Drosophila melanogaster: one gene and its partners. The protein of the gene in region 1 interacts with the protein of each later gene in a pairwise test. Each region holds a gene or a part of one and is shown on either strand. Other genes may lie near its edges. The genes, in order: Rsph3, CG34453 and dcma.

The links.
Region 2: the proteins of Rsph3 (region 1) and CG34453 interact in a two-hybrid assay, tested with the Drosophila melanogaster proteins (one large-scale study listed by BioGRID).
Region 3: the proteins of Rsph3 (region 1) and dcma interact in a two-hybrid assay, tested with the Drosophila melanogaster proteins (one large-scale study listed by BioGRID).

What each region holds. Positions count from the first base shown.
Region 1 is NT_037436.4:6,759,448-6,766,598, forward strand, and holds the start of Rsph3 (radial spoke head protein 3), read right to left. Parts: upstream 1,668-7,151; 5' UTR 1,444-1,667; coding exon 494-1,443; intron 1-493.
Region 2 is NT_037436.4:230,122-236,912, reverse strand, and holds CG34453 (uncharacterized protein), read left to right. Parts: upstream 1-3,561; coding exon 3,562-3,590; intron 3,591-3,648; coding exon 3,649-3,788; intron 3,789-3,840; coding exon 3,841-4,065; intron 4,066-4,122; coding exon 4,123-4,256; 3' UTR 4,257-4,433; downstream 4,434-6,791. Other genes in the region: E(bx) (enhancer of bithorax), read left to right, coding at 158-359, 412-774, 839-1,334, 1,399-1,503, 1,568-1,931, 2,261-2,345, 2,409-2,614; CG34454 (uncharacterized protein), read left to right, coding at 4,611-4,953, 5,021-5,079; CG42846 (uncharacterized protein), read left to right, coding at 5,324-5,357, 5,428-5,897.
Region 3 is NT_033779.5:4,690,600-4,697,750, forward strand, and holds the start of dcma (decima), read left to right. Parts: upstream 1-4,121; 5' UTR 4,122-4,392; intron 4,393-7,151. Other genes in the region: CG3251 (uncharacterized protein), read right to left, coding at 1-1.

The DNA of each region.
Region 1 (7,151 bases):
CAAACCGTTCAGGGAATTTACAATGTCCGAATGTTATTGGAAAAGCATTTCTAATTGAATTGTTAAAGAGTTAATTGTGAAAGTGGGTGAGCCACACAAGAAACTTGGCTGATGAAGAGCCTTCCATTCTATTTGCGTGTCATAGTAAAGTCTAAAAACAGATCAATAAGGTATCATCTTGAATCTATATCAGTTTAGATAACAAATCCTTGAAGGATTCAATTCGGCACTTTAAACCACAAAACCTATTTGTAATTGAATTGTTTGGGTGTCAATCGATAATGGCCGTAGGAACTGAAGTGGGGAGCTAAGTTCTGGTTCCATTGCAGAATGGCAGTGTAGGTACGTACGTATTACTCATTTGAATTTATGGTAATATATTTTGGCCCACTTTGCCTTGGTCAGTTGTCGGACCTTTTCCACTTCCCACCTTTTTTTTTTTTACTTCCAAGTTTAGCACCCATACCATTTTGGGGGTTGGTCTTTTTATTACCTCTTGTCGCTGATGTTGCTGCTGCTGTTGTTGTTGTTGTTGCTGGTGGAGCGACGCTGTTGCAGTTGTTGTTGGAACTGAGCCTTGGTGATGTGGAGTCCACCGGCGAGGGATTGCGTATCGTTACGGGAGGATTTGGAGGCCGCAGCTGTGGCCGCCGCCACTGCCGCCGTGGCACGCAAACCGTTCAGCCGGGTGGCGGTCACCTTCTGCTCCTTGCTCTCACTGCCGGTCTCCTTGGTGAGATACCCTTGGAGGATCATGGGATATGAGGAGTAGGCGTAGACATGCCTCCTCAGCATGGTGGCCGGTATCATTTGGACCTCATGCGGAGGCGGCAGGAAGATGCCCTGCGGCACTGTGGTCTCGAATCGTGGTCGCTGCGACATCGCTGGATCCATCCAGGCACCGGAATTGGCGCTCTGGCGACCGCCGTAGTTCTGCTCCTCCGGCGCCAGGAAGCGCAGCTTCTGGCTCAGCTCATCGGCGAAGCTGCGCACCTCCTGGTTGCTGCGCGAGAAGTGCGATCGCTGTGGAGGATTCCCTACATGATTATCACGGTTATCAGCTATGCCCGCCTCACGTCTAATCGGACGCACGATGGCCTGTTGGGGTCGCGTTGGATAGGAATCGAATTCGGGCTCCTCGGAGGGCTGATGGCGCAGCACCGAGAATGCGTTGGTCACCACGTGCTGGAAATTGTAGGGACTCTGATAGCGCTGGACGTTGAAGCCGCCGGCGTTGTAGTTGGTGGAGCTGTAGTTGGTGTTCGAATTGGAGCTGGACGAGACGCGTCCTGGTGCGTAGGGATAGCTGCTGGCGAAGGAGAAGTTCTGCACGCGATTCGGTCTATTGTCGGTGAGGTGCTCCAGTTCTGGCACTGGCTGTGGATCTGGCTTAAGTTCAGGATGTGAGTGTGCTGGGTGCTGCTGCTGCTCCGTCTCTGGCATGGTCTCCGCTACCGTCTCGGTTATCCCTGCTCCCGGCCGCCGGTCACCTCGTTCATTATAAATAGCCACCACACGGTTCTCTCACCCGCCGCACCGAAAAACTTAATCAATACTTTTCCTATATTTTTCCCTTTTGTGCGCCGCTCAGGTGTTGCGTTCGTTGGTTGATTGTTTGATTTTGTCGCGGAACACGTACCGCACGGCTCGAATGGCAAACGCCAAATGACCAAAGGACTCGCAGGACTCGTGGAACTCGCGCTCGGACCCGGTTTCGACTTTGGATTCGGCCCGTGGTCAGCAGTCGTCGTGCAGTTGGAAAAATATGTGGAACATATAGTCTCCTACTGCCCACGACTAAAGCTTTCCAGGAATTGAGCTGTTACTTCAAAGGACATTTTTAGTAAAAATATCCTTAAAGTGCTGCAATTGGTTTATATAGAAAATTGCATATTTAAACTATTCATGTTGCTGTTTCATAAGTTTAAATAACAATACTTCGCGTGCGTGCCACAATGTAAGTTTCTATACTATATACACATATTTTTCAAATTTTTTTCTGAGTGTATCGCTTGCTTCGCAGTTTGAGGCACATGATGGGCAGGTGTTGCAATAATAATGCGAACTGTTAACAGTCGGTGGCATTGGCATGGCCAAATCCACGTTCCCAGGAATTCTACTTTGCATAAGAGCTTTTTCTTTTCCATCCAAGTAGTTTCGTTGGGGTCTCCAATTAAAGGTTTCGCCCGGCGGAGGGACCTTGAATTTGTTTCGATGGTGTCCACATTTCCTTTCACATTGTCGGAGATGACTTCACGCATTTCCCTGCCTGACATTGAAAAAGGAGGTGGGTGGCTCTCTATTACTTGGAACACCTCCTAGGTATTGTCAATGGCCAAGGTCAATTGCTTGGACTGCCTGATAAGCGGAATTCAACAGGGAACTAAGCATAATTAAGTAGATTTCTTGGCACTCCAAGGAGTCACTCTTTTTTACTGGCAATGAAGAAAGGTCAGTGAATAGATGAAAGATTATTGTAACAGGAATTGGTAAGAATGTATCAGAAGTCCAAAAGCTTTTGGTAAAGCCTGTTGTTAAAAAAGGTAATTTTCTTTCACTCAATCATACTTCTATATGATTAAATTCGTTGGCTGACCTAAAGCACGGTATTCTTATCCTAATTTGAACATATACAGTTCAGAATTGATGTACTAATATATTCGAATAAATGATAAGATATAAGATATACCACACTGTAGTATTTATTCGATTTTTAGCTTGAGAGAAGAATGAGCACTTTACTACAACTGGATTTAGATACACTATAGTTTATTGGGTTTTTATCATATTTGGGGATCATCCTTATTCCCTGGTTGACCTTAATCCGACCCAAGTCCAGCCCCCGTCATTATCGGTAGTCAGATATATTTGTATATTTTTATGATACTAGTGCGTCAATTTCTACAATAGTTTTAAGCACTCATCGACTTCCACACTCCTCATAATTTCCTGTCCTGTGCACTCCTTCTATTGTTTCCCTTCAGAACACGAATGTTTCTATTCAAAATCGTACCAAGTTTGCGTGTCCTTTAGTGGGGCCATTGTATTGACCATCAGCCGAACACGGCCAGCGTTTAATAATTTATTTACGCAATTTATGACTTTCGTTTTTGGTCTTGGGTTCCATTGACCCCAGTGGGGAGACATATAAAGGTGTAGAAAATTCCCCTGCAAGGCGTTACAAAAAGCAATGGTTTTGCAACTATAGGATACTCATTACAAGAGGAGTAATACCCATGATAATTAACTCGAGCTTACAATTTCTAATGGTTCATATTTGTAGCGTATAAATGATTTCTTAACTACTTATTGAATTATTATATATTATATAAATTACAAAGAAAGTAAGAAAGTTGATTAATATTATAATATAATTTTACGAAATATTCAATATACCCTACTTGTCGGACTTAAATTACAGGGAATTACAGGGAAGCATGGGAAATTCTTTGGGTGGCTTCTGTTTGATACTTACTTGGGGCAACCTTTGATTTTGATCGGCTTGGGATGGCTGGCCCACCAAAATGCCTGTTTGCATGGTGGCGCTGGACAAGGATTCTCGTGCCACTTGAGCTGCATCTCGGTGACCTCGGTTCCCTTGATGCCGGAACTGAGGAAATCCATTCCTGAGCTTTTGCCACCACCATTGGGTTTGTAATCCCTCTTCGGGATCGTCGGCATTGCTAACTATTGCTATGTTGCGTTATTGAGGTTTTTAAAAACTTAAAATATATATATCGGATAAAGGTCTACCGCTTGCCAAATTTATGTGTACAAAATAGATTTATTTATGTGACACATTTTCACTGGAGTTCTTTGTCCTATGTTTTTATCTCCATATTTAAAAAAATATTGTATTATCAAAAAATTTGTATCCAAAATAAACAACGACGGCGGAATTTCCTCAGTTGCCATGGGAATTGAAAGTCGGCATTGTTAAACTGTTGCTGTGTGGGGATGGGTCTTTGGCAATGCACTTTATTCGTATTAACACTCGATAGATTTTGTTCGTTTTTTGACTGAAAGTCTATCGAGACATTTGCAATTTTTCCTTCTAACTTTCGCTTAGCGAATGGTCACTACACATTCCCATATATTATACACAACTAACTATCATTCAGTATGAGGAATCTATTTTTATATCTTCCTAGCAAGGAGAAACTAATGCAAAGCAACTTTTTCTAAGGAGCTTTATTAGCTTTTAGCTGGACTTGACCAAATACCAATATAATTTATTTATTATTTATCATTATCATTTTATTATTACTGATTTATTATTCCAACTACATTGCATGCATTCTGCAGATACAGCTGCTGTTCGGGATTTTGATTCATAGATAGATTTTTAATTGACACTTTAAGCGCATCGTTAAATTTAAGCAGGATGGCAGAAAAATAATTATTTATGTTTTTTGTATAAATTTTACAATTTTTAAAATTATTCATTAAGGTCTAAAATGGTTAAAACATTTTACAAGTCCTAAGCAAAATAACTATATTTTTCTACATGACATTATACACTTACAATGTGAATATTTTTTTACAGTAAAATGTATATTATACATATGTATACTTTGTTTTACTTGTCAGCAAGCAGTAAACCCGAACCTAAATTGCAAGCAGTTTTCAATGCTACTATTTATTGGCTAATATTAAATAGTTTACAGTAACAAAGAAAAAAGTTTATAAAAAAATTTTATTTCAAAATTGTTATCATCGATTAGTGGTAAGTTTGCAGATAAATTACATTTTTGGTCTATTTGGTTGCACAATTGCCTTGGGGACATCAAAAAATCTCACTAATTCCTTGATATTAAAATGACTTTGAATTTTCTAAACTATTTATCACTAAGTTAAATCGCTTGCCATCAGTTAAAACGTTTCGATGTAGCCACGCCTGAATCGAATTTCCCTGGAACGTGTCATTTAATTAGGTTTTCAAGGCTTATCATATCTCGGACTATCGAACGTTTGTCATTTGAATTGACCCCCTTTTTCTGTTTCGAGTTACACAGAATCTTTTGTATGGTTCTGTCTATTCATTAACAAATAGTTCGAAGGACTTTGGTCTTCGGACTGGACAACAATGACGTGGCTGTCAACGATGACGTTTCGCTTTATGCGGGGGTGATAATTGCGTCCGAAGCGAACCCCTTGAAATTCCCGAAAATGCCTAATAAGATCACAGGAACAACAGTCCGCACTCGATAAGTGGCCATGACGTTTGACATTCGCTGTGGTCCTTTGGCCATTTAGTGAGTTCAAAGGTTAATGATGGCCACACAGGCGACAACTGGCGACTGAGATCTTGTCCCGCAATTTCCCGATCATTTGCTCAGATACGATACGGATTCTGCGAAGTCACCGGGCAAAGGCATCCCACTGAGTTTGTTGGCTTCTTGTCAAACAAATCATTTACTGCGGATACTCCTCGATATTCCTCAAGATACTATCCATTTCACTGTGTAGGTGTGAGCTGCAATTTTCCCTGGAAAAATTACGTCCAGCACGGGATTTGATTAATTTATTACCGCTTGTCGAAGGGAAAGTGATCTTCGGGTTCCTAACGGTTGCGGATCGTAAAAAACATTCGGCAGACACAATTGTTGAATTATCTGCGGGCTGCTGTTGTGGGCACTTTTTTATGAGTTATTTATGTGCGACTGTGGCGCCAACAGGATCATAAAATATGTAGTTATGGGTAAATCTGTGAAAATAAATGTAAGCGTAATCTGGAAAATATTGAGTGGCCTAGATTCACCACATTAGTCATTTCAAAGAAATTAAAGAAAACTAAAGTAGAAGTATAAAAATTTTAAATTGTAATGATTTAAATATATCAAATAATGCAAATTTTAAAAAATTAATTTGATTACTGCTTTATTAAAATTTTTATTTCATATTAATATGATTTATCGTGCATACGGAAATTAAACTGGATTATGGTAATGAAATTTATAAATAAATCAAATACAGAGTACTTGTAGTAATGTTAAAACAAAACTGAAAACTGATTGTTGATTAATTGCATGCCATATTTGAAGAAGTTATAGAAAGTAATTCATGGGTATAGAACTGTCTTAAATTGTCAGATAATATTTCTGTTGATAATCTACATGCTGGCCCTCTCCAGACCTTAACCGATAAACAAACTCAGGCAAATTAAAATAAATATAACCATTTTTCTCCTAATGACAAGCCCCATATATAAGCAATGCAAAACACGCAAACATTTTTGTAGCTTTTTCGGGGGTACAAGCTTGCATGACTGAAATATTTCCGAGTATTATTGATTGCTGACATTTGGAGCATAAATGGCTCTTTAACTTCCTCGTCGTTCTTCGCCTGACAAATGTGCGAGGTAAGTGAAAATGTCGTTTTTGTTGGTTTTAGTTAGTTTTAGTCAGACATTAGACATTGCCGCCCCTTACATTTCGCCATTCGGTTGACTTTTGTGCGTCTGATTTGCATTTTCGCTGGCGACTTGATAACAGCTAAATCCGTTTGCTTCCAAACGATCGCTTCCAACTACACGGCGGAATAATTCTAAAAAAAAAACCGAGCAAGCTTCTTTTTTTTTTTTCCTTACACACTGATACACACTTAAGGGGGAAATAGAAAATGAAATAAAAATATAAACGCGATCAGACGATCGTCAACAACAATGAGAATGAACAATATAAATGGTCGCATCGGAATTGCTAATTTGCTTTTCAGTTGGCTTGGGTTTGCCTTTTGCCTGCTTTTTGTTTTTATTTCTGTTTAAAATTTTGTTGGATTTTTTTTTTCCAACCAGGGTTCCTGGTACGCTTGACCCTCCCTTTTGGACCCCCAGTGGACCCCAGAATGGCCGTCCGATTGATTTTTGTGCGACATTTTTGACATGCGGATGTGCCATGTTAACGAGAAGGACAACTGTTCCCCCATTTTTCGCCTCGAGTACAGCTGCATTTTGGGTTCGCATTCTCGGGCAACCCGATCCGCAACAAATCCTTTTGCACATTTACAATAAATTGAATTCGACCAATGCTGTTTGCGGTCGAGGAGGAGGAGGAGGAGGAGGCTTGTCCCTACGTTTGCAGGGCAAGTGAAATGCTTGAAAACCGCAGGAAATTCGTCGAATTTGCCATGCGGTAAGCTGAACTGAACCG
Region 2 (6,791 bases), 6.5 Mb from region 1:
TAAAAGGTTGCCTGGAGTAAATTCTACAACTGATCTCTGATTAAAGTCAGGTAGGTGTGTTCCTAAATTTTGTTCTTTGCGCTCTTAGTATTTGTTCATATTAACGCAATCAAATTCTCAAATTTTGAAAATAACTTACGTTTTTGGAAACGATTAGGTTGGTGGCGGCGTATCAATAGCTTATACTCGTATGATGAATTCGAATTATTTTGTGCAAGAAATTGAAGAAGAAGAAGATTATGATGATGAGATTATTGTCGTCTGCAGTCCGCCGAATCAAATTGTACCTTCACCTCCCCGTGAAGTATTCGAAGGTAGAATTTTAAGAAGTGAATTGCCGTGCCGCACCAACAATAATTGTAAGCCAATTTTGCAAGCAAAAAAAATTAAAAATTTATAATCTAGTTCTAGTTGAAGATCAAGACAATATTGAGCAGCATCGCCTAAAATATGAAAGTGAAGACCTTAAACGATGTTCATTGCAGACCAACAACATCGAAATCGACGCCGATACGCTAGCAACAACTTACGAAGCCAATTCAACTATTAAAGATATTGCTATTAATAATGGCGATGATCAGGAAAACAGTAAATGTGCAGAAACAGAAAATTCTAATATTACAACTAATGAGTCCTTTGCCGGTACATCTTCCCTATTAGAGGGTTCAGAACATGATGAACCAACTAACCTTGCCGGCCTCGATATATCAGAAACAGACTTAGAAAATAAACAAAACGAAAGCTTCGTTGTTACCAGAGGATACATACAGAAGTGTAAGTGTTAAAAAATGAATAAAAATACAAATGTGTTTGAAATAATAAGTGCCATGATTTTCAGCTATTTCAAATGCTCTGAAACAAGGTAATTTAAGTCCGGAACTTGAAGAAAAACTTGTTTGTATGCAGAAGCAACAAGAAAATGCGAATTCGACGAATGAGTGGGAAACATGCTCAAGGGGCAGTGTGAATGAGGAAGCACTAACTCCCAGTCGCCAAACTGATGACACTGAATGGAAAATTCGTACTTCCTTAAGACGCCCAAATGCTATGACAACAAGCAGCCAATTTAATCGAATTTTAAAAAAAAATCGGAGCAAGAATGACGAAGTCGCTGAACTTGGAGAGCAAAAGCAATCGCAATTGGAACGTCATAAAGAATTGCTTAAAAAAAATATTTTGCGCAAGCGTTCCTTATTAGAGCGTAATTTACAAAGCGAAATACACGAAGATGTAAAAACTAAAGTCCAAAGACATGTACGCCCCTTAAGTAACGCTTCACCGGATGAACAAAGCGAAAATGAGAGAAGTGGCGAACCAAATTTAGATTTTAAACGGTACGTATACTCATGCACTTGTGTGCAATATGATATATCTAATAATACCTAAATCAAATCGTAGGACAGAGGTGCAGAACCCCAGACATGGCGCAGGCCGACCAAAAAAGTTGACAAGAAAAAAGGAAAAGTTGTATTGCATTTGCCGTACTCCATATGATGACACAAAGTAATGCAGAAATGCATATTCTTAACGCGCTTTTAATTAATATATTGTAATTGTGTCTATGTAGGTTTTACGTGGGGTGCGACTTGTGCAGCAATTGGTTCCATGGGGATTGTGTCAGTATTACCGAGGAAGCTTCTAAAAAACTATCGGAGTTCATTTGCATTGATTGCAAGAGGGCGAGAGAAACGCAACAGCTTTACTGTAGCTGTCGTCAACCATACGACGAGTCACAATTTTATATATGCTGTGATAAATGCCAGGATTGGTTTCATGGCCGTTGCGTTGGAATACTTCAGAGCGAAGCAGAGTTTATTGATGAATATGTTTGCCCTGAATGCCAACGCAAAAACGATGCTAACGCTGCAAATATGAAGAAACTGACTTCAAATGACGTTGAAGAGCTGAAAAACTTAATTAAGCAGATGCAGGTAATAACCTGAAATTCATAATAATTTTTATTTATTATTAGGGACCTTAATTAAATAAAATTTAATTTTGTGGGAATCGTTATTCTGTGTTAGATAAACGAACAAATCGTTTATATATTGATGGCATCAAACATGTTAAAATACGGTAATGTTTGTAAAATTGTTGAAAAAATATTACAAAGTAACGAACAGAACGAAAGTATTATAAGTTCAAGACCAAGTGAATCAAATATCCAATTCGTTCATTCGTTTCACATTCATTTCTGGCTAACGAAAAACTCTCAACTGTAGCACATCAAAAATGGAATAAATATTAAATTTCCCTACAGTTACACAAAAGTGCTTGGCCATTTATGGAACCGGTTGATCCGAAGGAAGCACCCGATTATTACAAAGTGATTAAAGAGCCAATGGGTATGTAACACAAAAAATAAATTTATTCGAAAATAAATAAAATGGGGATATTTTTTTCTATAGATCTCAAACGGATGGAAATTAAACTCGAATCAAACACCTATACCAAACTATCTGAGTTTATAGGCGATATGACAAAAATTTTTGACAACTGCCGTTACTATAACCCAAAAGAATCATCCTTTTATAAGTGTGCTGAAGCACTAGAGTCATACTTTGTGCAAAAAATTAAAAATTTTCGCGAAAATGTTTTTGACCAAAGAACATAAGAAATAATAGCCCTTGAAAACTTTAGAACAAATGATTATAGTTTATAAAGACACTTCTAACAATTTGAAAAACGTCCTTCAGTTATGTATTCTTATTTTGAATCAAATGTTATATAAACATATATTATCAATAAAAACACATATAATTAATTATAATAAATTATGTACATATTGACCATATTTAGTAACGTACACCAGTATGCAATAAATTTCATATTCACCAGACATTTGTAAGATTAAAAATAATTAAGTAAAACCCCCTTTGTACAAAACATTAAAGTGTAAATAAACAGCATGCATTTCATTTGATATCCTTATCATATGCTGTAGGTTTAAACTTAGGCGTATGTAACTTGTAAAAATACAAGCTTATAATAAATGTTCAGCATATTTTGAAAATAACTTGCATTTATTTAGTCTTTGGTTTGTTTACTGCTCATTGGACTTTTAAATTCACACCTACTCAGCAAAAACAAAAATATACCTTAAATAGCTTATTAATATTATTAGACGGATTCTTTGCACTAAAATAACAACAAAATCCTCATTTGTTGATCTGCATTGAAATTTTTGTAGGCCCTTGCATAGGGTATATTTTGTAACAGTCCGAAATTTGCTTCGCAATGAAGGTACCCTTTATGATCACAAACTATATTCCTATATTCTTGATCAATATCAGCAGACGATGCGACATAACAAAGCCCGTCCGTCAGTTTCTACGCAATCCAGTCTCTCAGTTTTAAAGCAGTTATACATGGAACTTTCCCAAAAGTCTTCTTTCGGTTGCAAATGTCACTATATAACGTAGTCGTTACTAGACTGTCCAGAAGTTGTTTATTCTACGAGTAATGGGTATAAAAATACTAATTAACTGGTTGCCATGGCGAGCGTGCGCAGAAAACGGGTTTATTAAACAAAATTATTGACTAGTTAAACATAATAAAACGATGGAACCTGCTAAAGTGATTGGAAAGCTGTAAGAGTTCAGCACATCTTATTAAAATATGAATAGCAGATATTATTAACAATTTTAGAAAGGAGCAAGTGCGCATGGAGCACAATTCGCGTCGTAGTTTTCCAAAAGCTTGGAGCGAAATTTCGGGCAAGCAAACTAACAAGTTCTACCACCAATCTGAGATTAATTCTCAACTAAGTAACCAGCTAAAATTAAAAGGTATATTTACATAGAGGTTTATAATTGTGCACTCACATACTCTACCCTATAGACCTGTGCCCTTTTGTGCACAACAACCAAGGCGAATCGCGATTCGTATCTCCGGAGATGTACAAACCTTTACTGGCCGTCTGTCGCTGTGGGCGAACTAAGGAAAGCATCCATATGGGAAAATGCTTACAAAGAGCCTTGAGTCCAGATTACAAGCAAGAAATGGTACAGAATGGCACTGATGCATGGAGTGCAGAACCATTTAATGTGCCTTCCACTTCAAGCTGTAAGTAGTGCACCTACATTTAATTGTATGGGTACAACAATATAAAGAGATTTTCAGCTACCATTGGCTTCGCAGCTATTTCGAAAAACTACCAAAAGCTGGAGCGTTCTATGCAATATGTTTCTCCTGCGTTTTCCATGCCTGGCCCTCGAATTACAGCAGTCCCTTACTATAATATTATTATTGGATAAGTCATCACGAATTTTAAAGTTTCTTGTTGGTCATTTCCAACCCATATTTTTGATGAATCAAATCTGGGATTTCCCTAGATTATTGCAAATATAAGCACATGATAATAAACTTAAAATTGATAGCGGGCATCGTACAGAACTGGATTTTCCAGACGATTGACTGCTTTAGAAACCTGTATTCAGTGGCGTTCCCATATCTTATTTACTACTTTGTATTTTGATTCACTGAATTAAAACTTTCCAGTATATGTGAAGTTCCTTATGCTTAGTGCAGCTGATTCTTGTGTTGGTTCAGTTTCCCTCGATCAGCGAACGAAAGCACATACGACTATAAGCTTCAGGATTCAGTTAAAGATGTGCATCAATTGGCATCCAATATTTATTTTTGCTTGTTTAAGTCAGTTGGGCGCAGCCCAAGAACCTTTAATTTTCGAAACATCTCGTAGCCCATGGAACAATGCCGCCGCAACGACGTCAATACCAATTTCGCCCACCAGCGCAAACTTAGTTTTGGTTAACAATGTAAGAATACCAGGAGGTCTTACACCATTTGTACCAGCACCGGCCCCAACCAAGGAATTTCTGAACTGCTTTGGTAACTGTCCCACCACATCGCAATACAATCCCATTTGCGGCAGCAATATGCAGCTTTATATGAACGAGGAAAAATTTAATTGTGCTCGTTTCTGTGGAGCTGGTGAGTCCATTATATCCATTATATTATTATTTTTTAATCGAAAATATACTTCACTATTCGTTTTTAGACATTCAAATAGTTCGAAGAGGTTCTTGTGAGGGTCTTTTTGCGATGACGCGAGGTTGATATGCAACAACCAGCTATTTAATGTAATAGATTAATATACTCCAACTAAGATATTTTCAGTTTAAATATTATTATGGCACAGAGATAAGACGCCACGCAGTACATAACAACGCAAAATAATATAAATAAAATAAATACATACTAATGCAAAACAATCAAGATAACCTTGACGCACTTGTAGAAAATTTCGAAATGGATTCCCAAGACAGTTCCGTTCTGAATTTCAGAGAGAATACTTGCAAACATGGAGGCGATTTATCAATTGGTCGTAATCTTAGGTACATTATATACATAAATATATTTTATTCTGTGTGAAAGCTCCTTCTAAAATATCCGTTTTCTACTCAGCTATTATTTTTGGGCATCTGCAGTTCCAGTCCACGGTGTTAGCTGACCCTGCTTTTCGTCGCCCAAATGCCATCGCGCCCGCCCGCACCTATAGCGGTGTATACAACCACTCGACGATTCACAGAGCTGTCGAAAAGTCCAATTTGACTGCCCCGGCGGTTCACCAACCTGTCCTCCAGGCACCCGGATTTATAATACCATATCAGAACCGTTCGTTGGTTCACGCCAATCAGGGATCTCATGGCGTTTTACCAGGTAGCGTTCCAGCGCAAGATTCAGGTCCTTCCAGCGTCTGGGTGGCCAGTAATAATCACCAACCAGGAGTAACTGGCGTTCTTCAACCAAACCCATCCCAAGGTAAAATCGTAAATCCACCATTTGTCATTGGCAAAAATAATGGATCGTTTTATTCAACCTATAATGCAACAGTCCCTGGCAGGACTTATCCTTATGGAAACCTTTCCATTTGAGCAATTATAAAATTTTACCAAAACCCAATAAACCAAATTAAGATTAGCATTCTTTTCAAAAATCAATTTATTGTGATCTTAAATCGTTTCATGTATTAGAATCATCGGCATAAGTATTGGGGTTGCTTTCCGGTATTCCAGAAGTGTAAATAAATGTATATTCAATGAAGATTTTCCATATAAGGGATAATCAGGGATGCGTATTTTTGGAGGCGTGATTACGCTGATCACGCCACCTAAGTATATCAGCTTTGAACTATCAATAAATGGAGTGACACGCATGTATATGGAATGCGATGGCTGACCAATTGCCGAAAAATTAAACCGAGGATCCCTCGCCGCCGTCAGAAATTCCCGCGCTGCAGTCCTAAACTCCCACGCTGCCGTCAAAAAAGGTCCCACGCCGCCGTCCAATCTTATAAGAATCCCGCGCCGCTGTCCAGAACCTCGATCCCTCGCTGCAGTCCCGATCTCCGTCTCCCACGCCGCAGTCATCTCCATTGATGTAAATTCCAGTAGTCTTAAGAATATGGTTCCTAGCGCCCTGGCCTAAACGCCCTAATAATCCCGCGTTGCAAAAACTTGATATCCCTCGCCGCAGTCTGAACTATCCGTACGTCCGCCGCCGTCGTCTTTGAGAGCCGAAAATCCCACGCCGCTGTCCAAATTTACTCCTAGGCCGCTGTCGATGGTTAAATTAGACTGAATCCCACGCCGCAGTCCAAGTTAGAGAATCATTCTTCAACAAATCTAATATCCTCACGAAGGGTCCTCACAAAGAAAAAGAATCGACCAGTGTGTAGCGAAGCGAAAGCTGTATGCAATCCAACTTTTATATTGGTTCGAAGGGGTACGGGTTGAAACAAGGATTGAAGTCGTCATCAGTGCCGAAAC
Region 3 (7,151 bases), on another chromosome or scaffold:
TTATTGTTGGGTAAAATATTTTAGTACTGGGTACTTAAATAAAAGTTAAATCAAGTCGCGACTAATAGGAAAAAGTTCAAGGAAAGCCACGAGTTTCCTGCGTCGTTGCCAGATGTTGGAATTCTGCACTTCCATTATACGCGTTAAAAGTGGAACAGTGGAAATGAACACGAAATTTGCCTTCAATACCTGTTCTCCTTAAGCTCCTGTGTGAAAGCGTTATTATGAAATGCAAAATTGTAGCTATGTGGCAACACCGTCGAAGGGAAGCACGTGAGAAACTTATTAGCCAAATAATCAAAAATCAAAAGGATTATTGGTCACATTGCTGTCCTCATGAAAGAGCTTGGCAACCTTACCACTTAAATTTTAAATTTCGATTCTGAACATAGTTAAATTGTATTTGTGAATCTATGTTAAATTGCATAAACTTTATAATGTGGTACATATCTTAGCATTGATTTATTATGCTTTCGAGTGGAGCTATAAAACATGAAGAAAATAATAGAGCACATAAATAACTGCATAAACATTTAGAGGCAAACGGCTCAAAAATGCAGCAATGGCATTCAATAAATTCGAAAGCATTTGACACATCAGCAGGTTGGTAATTAATTGATAGACAGAAATAATCGAGTGAATTATGTTCGTATAATTCGATTTCAACACGTGTCGCCATCAATTTCTATCGAAACAGCTACCATGTGCGATGCCCCACAATTAACTAAGCGCTTTTCCATTACTTGGCAATCATGGATCATTCATGGGATGGATTAATTCCGCCAACCGAGCCACTTCATCATCAACACAAATTTCTAGAGAAGTGAGTGTAAGACTGACTCGATAATGAAGTGTACGGAAATAGACAAAGATTTAGGGGTTTCTTCCGCTCCCCATCGGGATATTGACTTGCTGATTATTTTTATTTGGCCAGGCAGAGCGCTTCAATTGAGACATAAAACTATGCCAACACACGAGCATAAACATTTATACACACGATTAGGAGTGCTGTTTGTTTTTATGTTTGGTTTAGCGCTTCCGTTTGTGGCCACCAAGAAATGCCAGCACACACTGCGTATACGCATTAAATGGCCCAGAATGAGATACAAACAAACGGACAGTGGGAGAGAAAAAACAAAAGCAAAAATTGGGGAAACGAAGGGAGCCGAAGCCCAAACATTTGGCGCGATTAAAGTGTGCACTTCTAGTTGTATAAAACATGGCCCATAAATCAATGAAAAACTAATCTGAAAATCAAAAGGAAAACACTGGGGGATTTGTTTTGTGCGAAATGAATTTGGCTGGCCAATAAAACGCACGTGAGAACCCATACTGCACCGAAAAGTATTTTTATCCTTTTGTTGAACTTGTTAAAATTCACTAAAAATGCAAATCAATTAAATTAAAGCAACAACTTTATTTTTTCAACTCCGTACCATTTGGGAAATACAATTTATGCAAATGCAACAGCAGTAGCTGTAGTAGACACAAAAAAAAATAAAATTCATGACAAGCCGCAAGCTTAAATGCTCATTAGTGTTCCGAAGCGAGAAAAAAACCAAATAAAATAAAATGAAACAAAGTAGAAGCCCCGAAACTAAAATCAAGAGGGAGCGCAGTGGAGCGTATTTTTGTCGCCTGCATCGCATTTACATTTTCAAATCCAACTGTACTGTATACTTGTGAGTTAGTACATAAGGACAAACGTCTCCGCCATATAAATGCAAAGCTCTTCGAGAACCGGATGGTCTTAAGTTACCGAATTGCAGGCAATTAATTGGGACTTACGGCCGAAATCCAAGGCTAACTTTGACTTTGGCTGAAACAGAAAGATTTCGTTGGCTGCATTGTTATGCGCTCTTGCGTGAATTGATCCCCTTTTAATGATGCACTCCAGTGGCGAAAATAATTTGCTTGTGACAGCCTTTGAGCCTTCTGCTAATGCTTTGTTTTAAATCATTGTTATTTCAGGCGAGTAAGCCCTGCTACTAGCTTCTGTGCTTTTCTCCTTTAAATGCTAATGCCATTGATTTCGGCACACAAATGCAATTCAGTTGCTATGCACGAAACATGTTAAGCATACGCAGCGTTGCCCCGGCAAAAGTTTGTGCATGCAAATTTGACGATAAACTTGAACTAATTAAAAAGTTGCGCTAAAAAGTTGCATTAAGCCAGAGACCGCAAAGGTTGTGCACTATTTTTCCGCCAGAATGTTTTCTCATCTCGTTGGCTGCGTGGCGGGTGTGTTGACAAATTGACATATTGTGGCTACAGAAAGTTGCAGTTGTAAGTCGTTGCCATTTCTCTTGCAACATGTGGCACAGCGGGAGGTGTAATACTTGCGGCTAATTTCGAGTTTGTTGCTCTAAGCCCGAAGCATTTCGTATCTGGCTTCCTGGCCCTATGCTCAGCTCACACAAAACTGATGGCCACAGGATAAAACGGGGGCCCAAACAAAACCGCACACAAGCTACCAGCGGTTTACTTGCCCCTCAGCAATTGCTGTTCGAAAAAAAGTGGCACTGGATAAAAAGCATGTTGAACATTCTGTTCTGGCCAAAAACTGCGGGAGCTGCAGTTCAAGAAATACAGCCACTACTTGACTGGAGTTCAGTTAAAGCACACTTCGTGTTTACTATCAATAACTTATTTTATTTACTTTTAAAGTGCTTCTGCACACGTACGTTGGCTTAATCTTTATTTGTGGCTTATTTGCCTGGCTAGCGTGAGCTTTACATTGGCTTAGTTTAAACCTGCTTACCTTGTTATGTGATAAATCTTTTTTGCCAAAACTTTATCTTTACCGGTTTAAATGATAAAGAAGAAATGTTATGTAAAATGGAAAAAAAATATACAATATTTATTAATTAAGAGAATGAAATATTTCATAATTTTTATAAACTTTAATATATAAAACCGATATAAATTTTCAGTGATAGCAGCCACATATCGGGTATCACAGACTCGGGACTCGTTGGAGCATTTATTTTTTATAATTCACTTGAGCCTTGTTAAGACCGCTGGTAGAGCATGGCTAGCATGTGTGTGTTTATGGGCCACCACCTCATCATCAACTCGTGTCCGTTTCCGTGCCCCACACTTCTCGCACCACTTGCAACCACTTGAATTTGCTGCGGTTGTTGCTGCTGTTCGTATTTGCCATGCCATTTGCTGGAGAAATTTTTCTTGATTGCCTCGCCCCCAGCAGTTTGCTTGTTTTTCGCTTATGCGTCGTCATCTTTCCACATCCTTTTACCATTTTCCACGGGTTTTCCCTTTTCCGTATTTATTTTTTACTCTGCTTTTTGTTCTCCTGGCAGACAGTGATTTTGACATTTCACGCGCATTTGTTTGTTATGCTTCTCTGGCCAGCAGCATTGACAGCGCGGGAAAGGTCAACATTTCCCTTTATTTTTTTTTTTTTTGCATAAGTGCGTAAGGCCATGTATTCATAGAAATCGTAGTGGGCCATAATAAAAATAAGGACTGTGGTAGTGGCACGCAGGCTCATTAACATTTGCGAGGCACGTGGCGGGAATGACGCTAACTCAGTTGCTCCCCAGCGTCGCATTCGGCTTAGCCAAATTGATTTTCCGTCCTGCCAACAAAACAATCTGGCACAGCGAGAGAAAAACATAACAATATCAGCATCAGTCACATAACCATTGCCAGTTTTGCATAGCCTTTTCTGTTCATAAGCCAAGGGTTTTATGATCACCAGTTATCCGAATTTCGGCCAATTCGATTGCTCATTTTTATGTGGAAAATATTTATGAATCGATACGTTTATAAAATATAAAGCACATTTATAAATGCAATATCTTTATCTGAGGAACGGAGTCTTTTCTTTTCCGTTTCTAACTCATAAAAACTTAGGGCTTACTTTTTGCAAGGAATACATATTTATTTATGCACAGAATTTTTCTCTGTATTCCCAAAAGGGGAAATAAACATCAGACCAACACAGAATTCCACTCAAAACAATTATGAATGAATGGCCAGAAGAGCGCTCAAACCAGTTAACAGAGCAGCTGTTGCTGTCGAGTCTATGTTAACGCTTTCACTTGGCCAACAGCCGCAGCTTCTGGCAAGTATTCTGGCTTTTAGTCCCACAACAGACGTCGAGGCGAGAACACGCGGCCCAAAAGACGTGCGCATGTCAAGTTGCGAGCTGCGTTTGGTTTTCGATTCGAGCCACATGGCGTATACGCGATACGGTCTGTGCCACTGCCTGCATTGAGTACTGAGTCAATAATGGTCGGTGGTCAGTGCTGCGGCTTTAGTGCGTGCTGAGCTGAGTAGCAGATAATGTGTCAATAATTGAACTGGACAATCGGCATTGCTCGATCCAGTATGTGAATAGCCGACACTCAACTGGAAAGGAACTTCGATGTAAGCATAAATAGCACCCAGAAACTTTAAGTGTTGGTGTAGTAAAAGTGTGAACTTAAAGCATGTACCACTTTAACATGTCTGAAACATGCGTAGGAAACACAAGTTAACAATATTTTCTGCTTTCGACTAAGATAAAGAATTAGTCTTGTTGTTTAACACCAAAATCTGCTTTTATTTAAGAAAAAAAAACGACATCAGTCAAAGAGACAATAATTAAATTTCGAGACACAAAGGCCCCTTATTTCACTTAACCCAATCAATTAGATCAAATAAAATATCAATACAAAATAGATTAAAAGAGGGCGCAGCACCGAAGCAAGTCGAATAAATAAATGCAAATAAAATAAGTTCAAATCGGATCAGCAGAGTGACGTATTTAAATTTCACCAGGGGCAAATCGAGCCGCCACGTAGTTCGACATTCGAGCCGTCATAAGCCGGAATTCGGAGGGGATTGCATTAGGGAAGTTCTTACTTTCTGGTGCCGCTCGAATTTCCCCAGGGCACTTGGGATGCACGTGAGCTCTGTGCCGATGGATTTTCCATTCCGCATTCGCCCCGTTTTCCCGCTCCGATACACATTTTTTTGCGACGTTTGTCAACACCATTTGGCCTCTATTTGATTTGCATATTGCTACCTGTCTGGTTTTCCGAGAAGCCTGTGAACGTGCGTGAAAAGTAAACAGGGGATAGGATGGGCGAAACAAAAGGGACGGCAAACGTGATAAAATAGGTGGAAAAATAGCGGATAAAAAATGAAAACATTTGCCGGAAAACAAAGAAAATTATCTGACCAGATGCCCGGGCTGTCCGTTCTCTCTTCCCCGGGGGAAGAGTAAAGTTGTAATAAAAAATAAAAATAAAACCCGGGGGTCGCCAGTGACAAGTGACAGGTTGCTTGTTTGCCGGGCCGAATAATGTGGTCAGGTCCGTCTGATATGGCCGCCTAATTTGGGAGACGCTTTTATTGTTTGCCCACGGACATGGCGTCATTATCTGCTGGCATTTTTGTGCGCTCCCCATTTGTTTACACGCACTTTTAACGTGTTTATTCGGCCACAACGCAAACTAATTGAAACACACCGGGCGTATACTTATTGTAATGCCCGTGGGCGTGTCACGTTCCACGTGCAATCAGTGGCCGCCTTGAAATCCACTCGTCTGCAATTGCAGTGCACGCTGCACCCTATCACGCCCCCCATTTGCTCTTTGAGGCTTTCACTCGCAGGACCCACTGTCATTTGGCCCTCAATGCCAGCAGCTGAAAGCTGAAACAACAGCTCACTGCTTCCACTATCCGTAGTTCTCGCCCTCGTCCTCATCCTCGTCCTCATCCTCGTCCTCATCCTCGTCCTCGTCATCATCATCATCGCCATCCGCCGTAGTCGCGGGTACGACATATTCGCTCAGCGGTTCACGCCGAGGTTGAGGTTGAGCCGAGCCAAGTGAGTAAGTGAGTGAGTGAGTGCCAGGAGCGGCAACTTGTTTACCTGCCTGTGTTTTAATGAAATGCAAATGCAAACACAGCCGTGAAGCACCATGGGCTCCATAGGCTCAAAGTGGGCCAAAAATAGGTGAAGGATTAACAGCTAGCGGAATCCATTACCGACTCTGTATTTTTGATATTTTATTAACACCTACACAAAATTACATTGAAAACAATTTCTTTTAGAGACCACAATTCAAAAATAAGTATAAACGCAACGAGATAAGCTTGAATATTTAAAAGCAAAGGCAATTCATTATTAAATAGTTTTGAGTTTTATTTGCATACAACCTTGCGGATTTTCATTTAAGTTAAAAACACAGAGCACACACATCAATTTAAGTGGCGGATGTTGTGATTGGTTAGCTGTATAAATTTGAAACAGCAGTGTTTGTTTTCATAAGCCCGCTCGATGGCTTCGCAAGATTGATTGCATCCAGAGAATAGATCGAAATAGACCTCCGAATGTGAACGTAAACACGCCACAGTGCCCACCTGTATCCGCCAGGTAATTTTTCCTGGCCCTCTGCAATGGCACTTAGCGGTAATGGGGTTACTGCCAAGGAGCCGCACTCGCTTGAGAATGTCCCTGATTTTGTACGCAAACACTTCAATTTCCGTGACAGATGACAATTTGCCACAATTGCACATTGCAGTGCAATTAGATTTAGTAAATTTTTAACTCCCATTTGGCCGGCATTAGATTCGTATGTAACACAATTTCATTCATGCCAGTTGGTATTGGCCATCTTGTCCTGCATTCGCATAAATAAATTGGCAAAAGATTCCTTTACGGCCAAGTGGGATGATCTTTAGCCAGCAGCTGGGTCTTAAGTTCACATTGGCACCGGGGTCGTAAAAGCGGATCTAAGCGCCATTTCAAAATTGCCTGGGATTGACCGCCATCGCGCTGGATTTTGACTTAAAGTGCCATTCGGATATGCATTAAATTTATGGCAATACATTAAACTAAATACTCCTCATCGAAGCTATCAAAGGTGCCGCAGCGGAAATTGAACGTGACAAACTTATGAAAAGCGCTAAAACATGTTGGCCTAAGCGGCTTTTTATGACAGATACTCAATTTCCTAATGGCACCGGTGGACGCAACCGAGGTTGGTAAAAAAAGCAACCAGATTTGTATCTAAATATTGGCATGCCATGCTCGACAAGTTTAAAGTTTTAATTAAACAAGTACGACGAGGCTAATTACTGCATTATGATAAACAAAACAGAAAGAGCACTTTAGACTTTCAGCTAACTTTGTAATA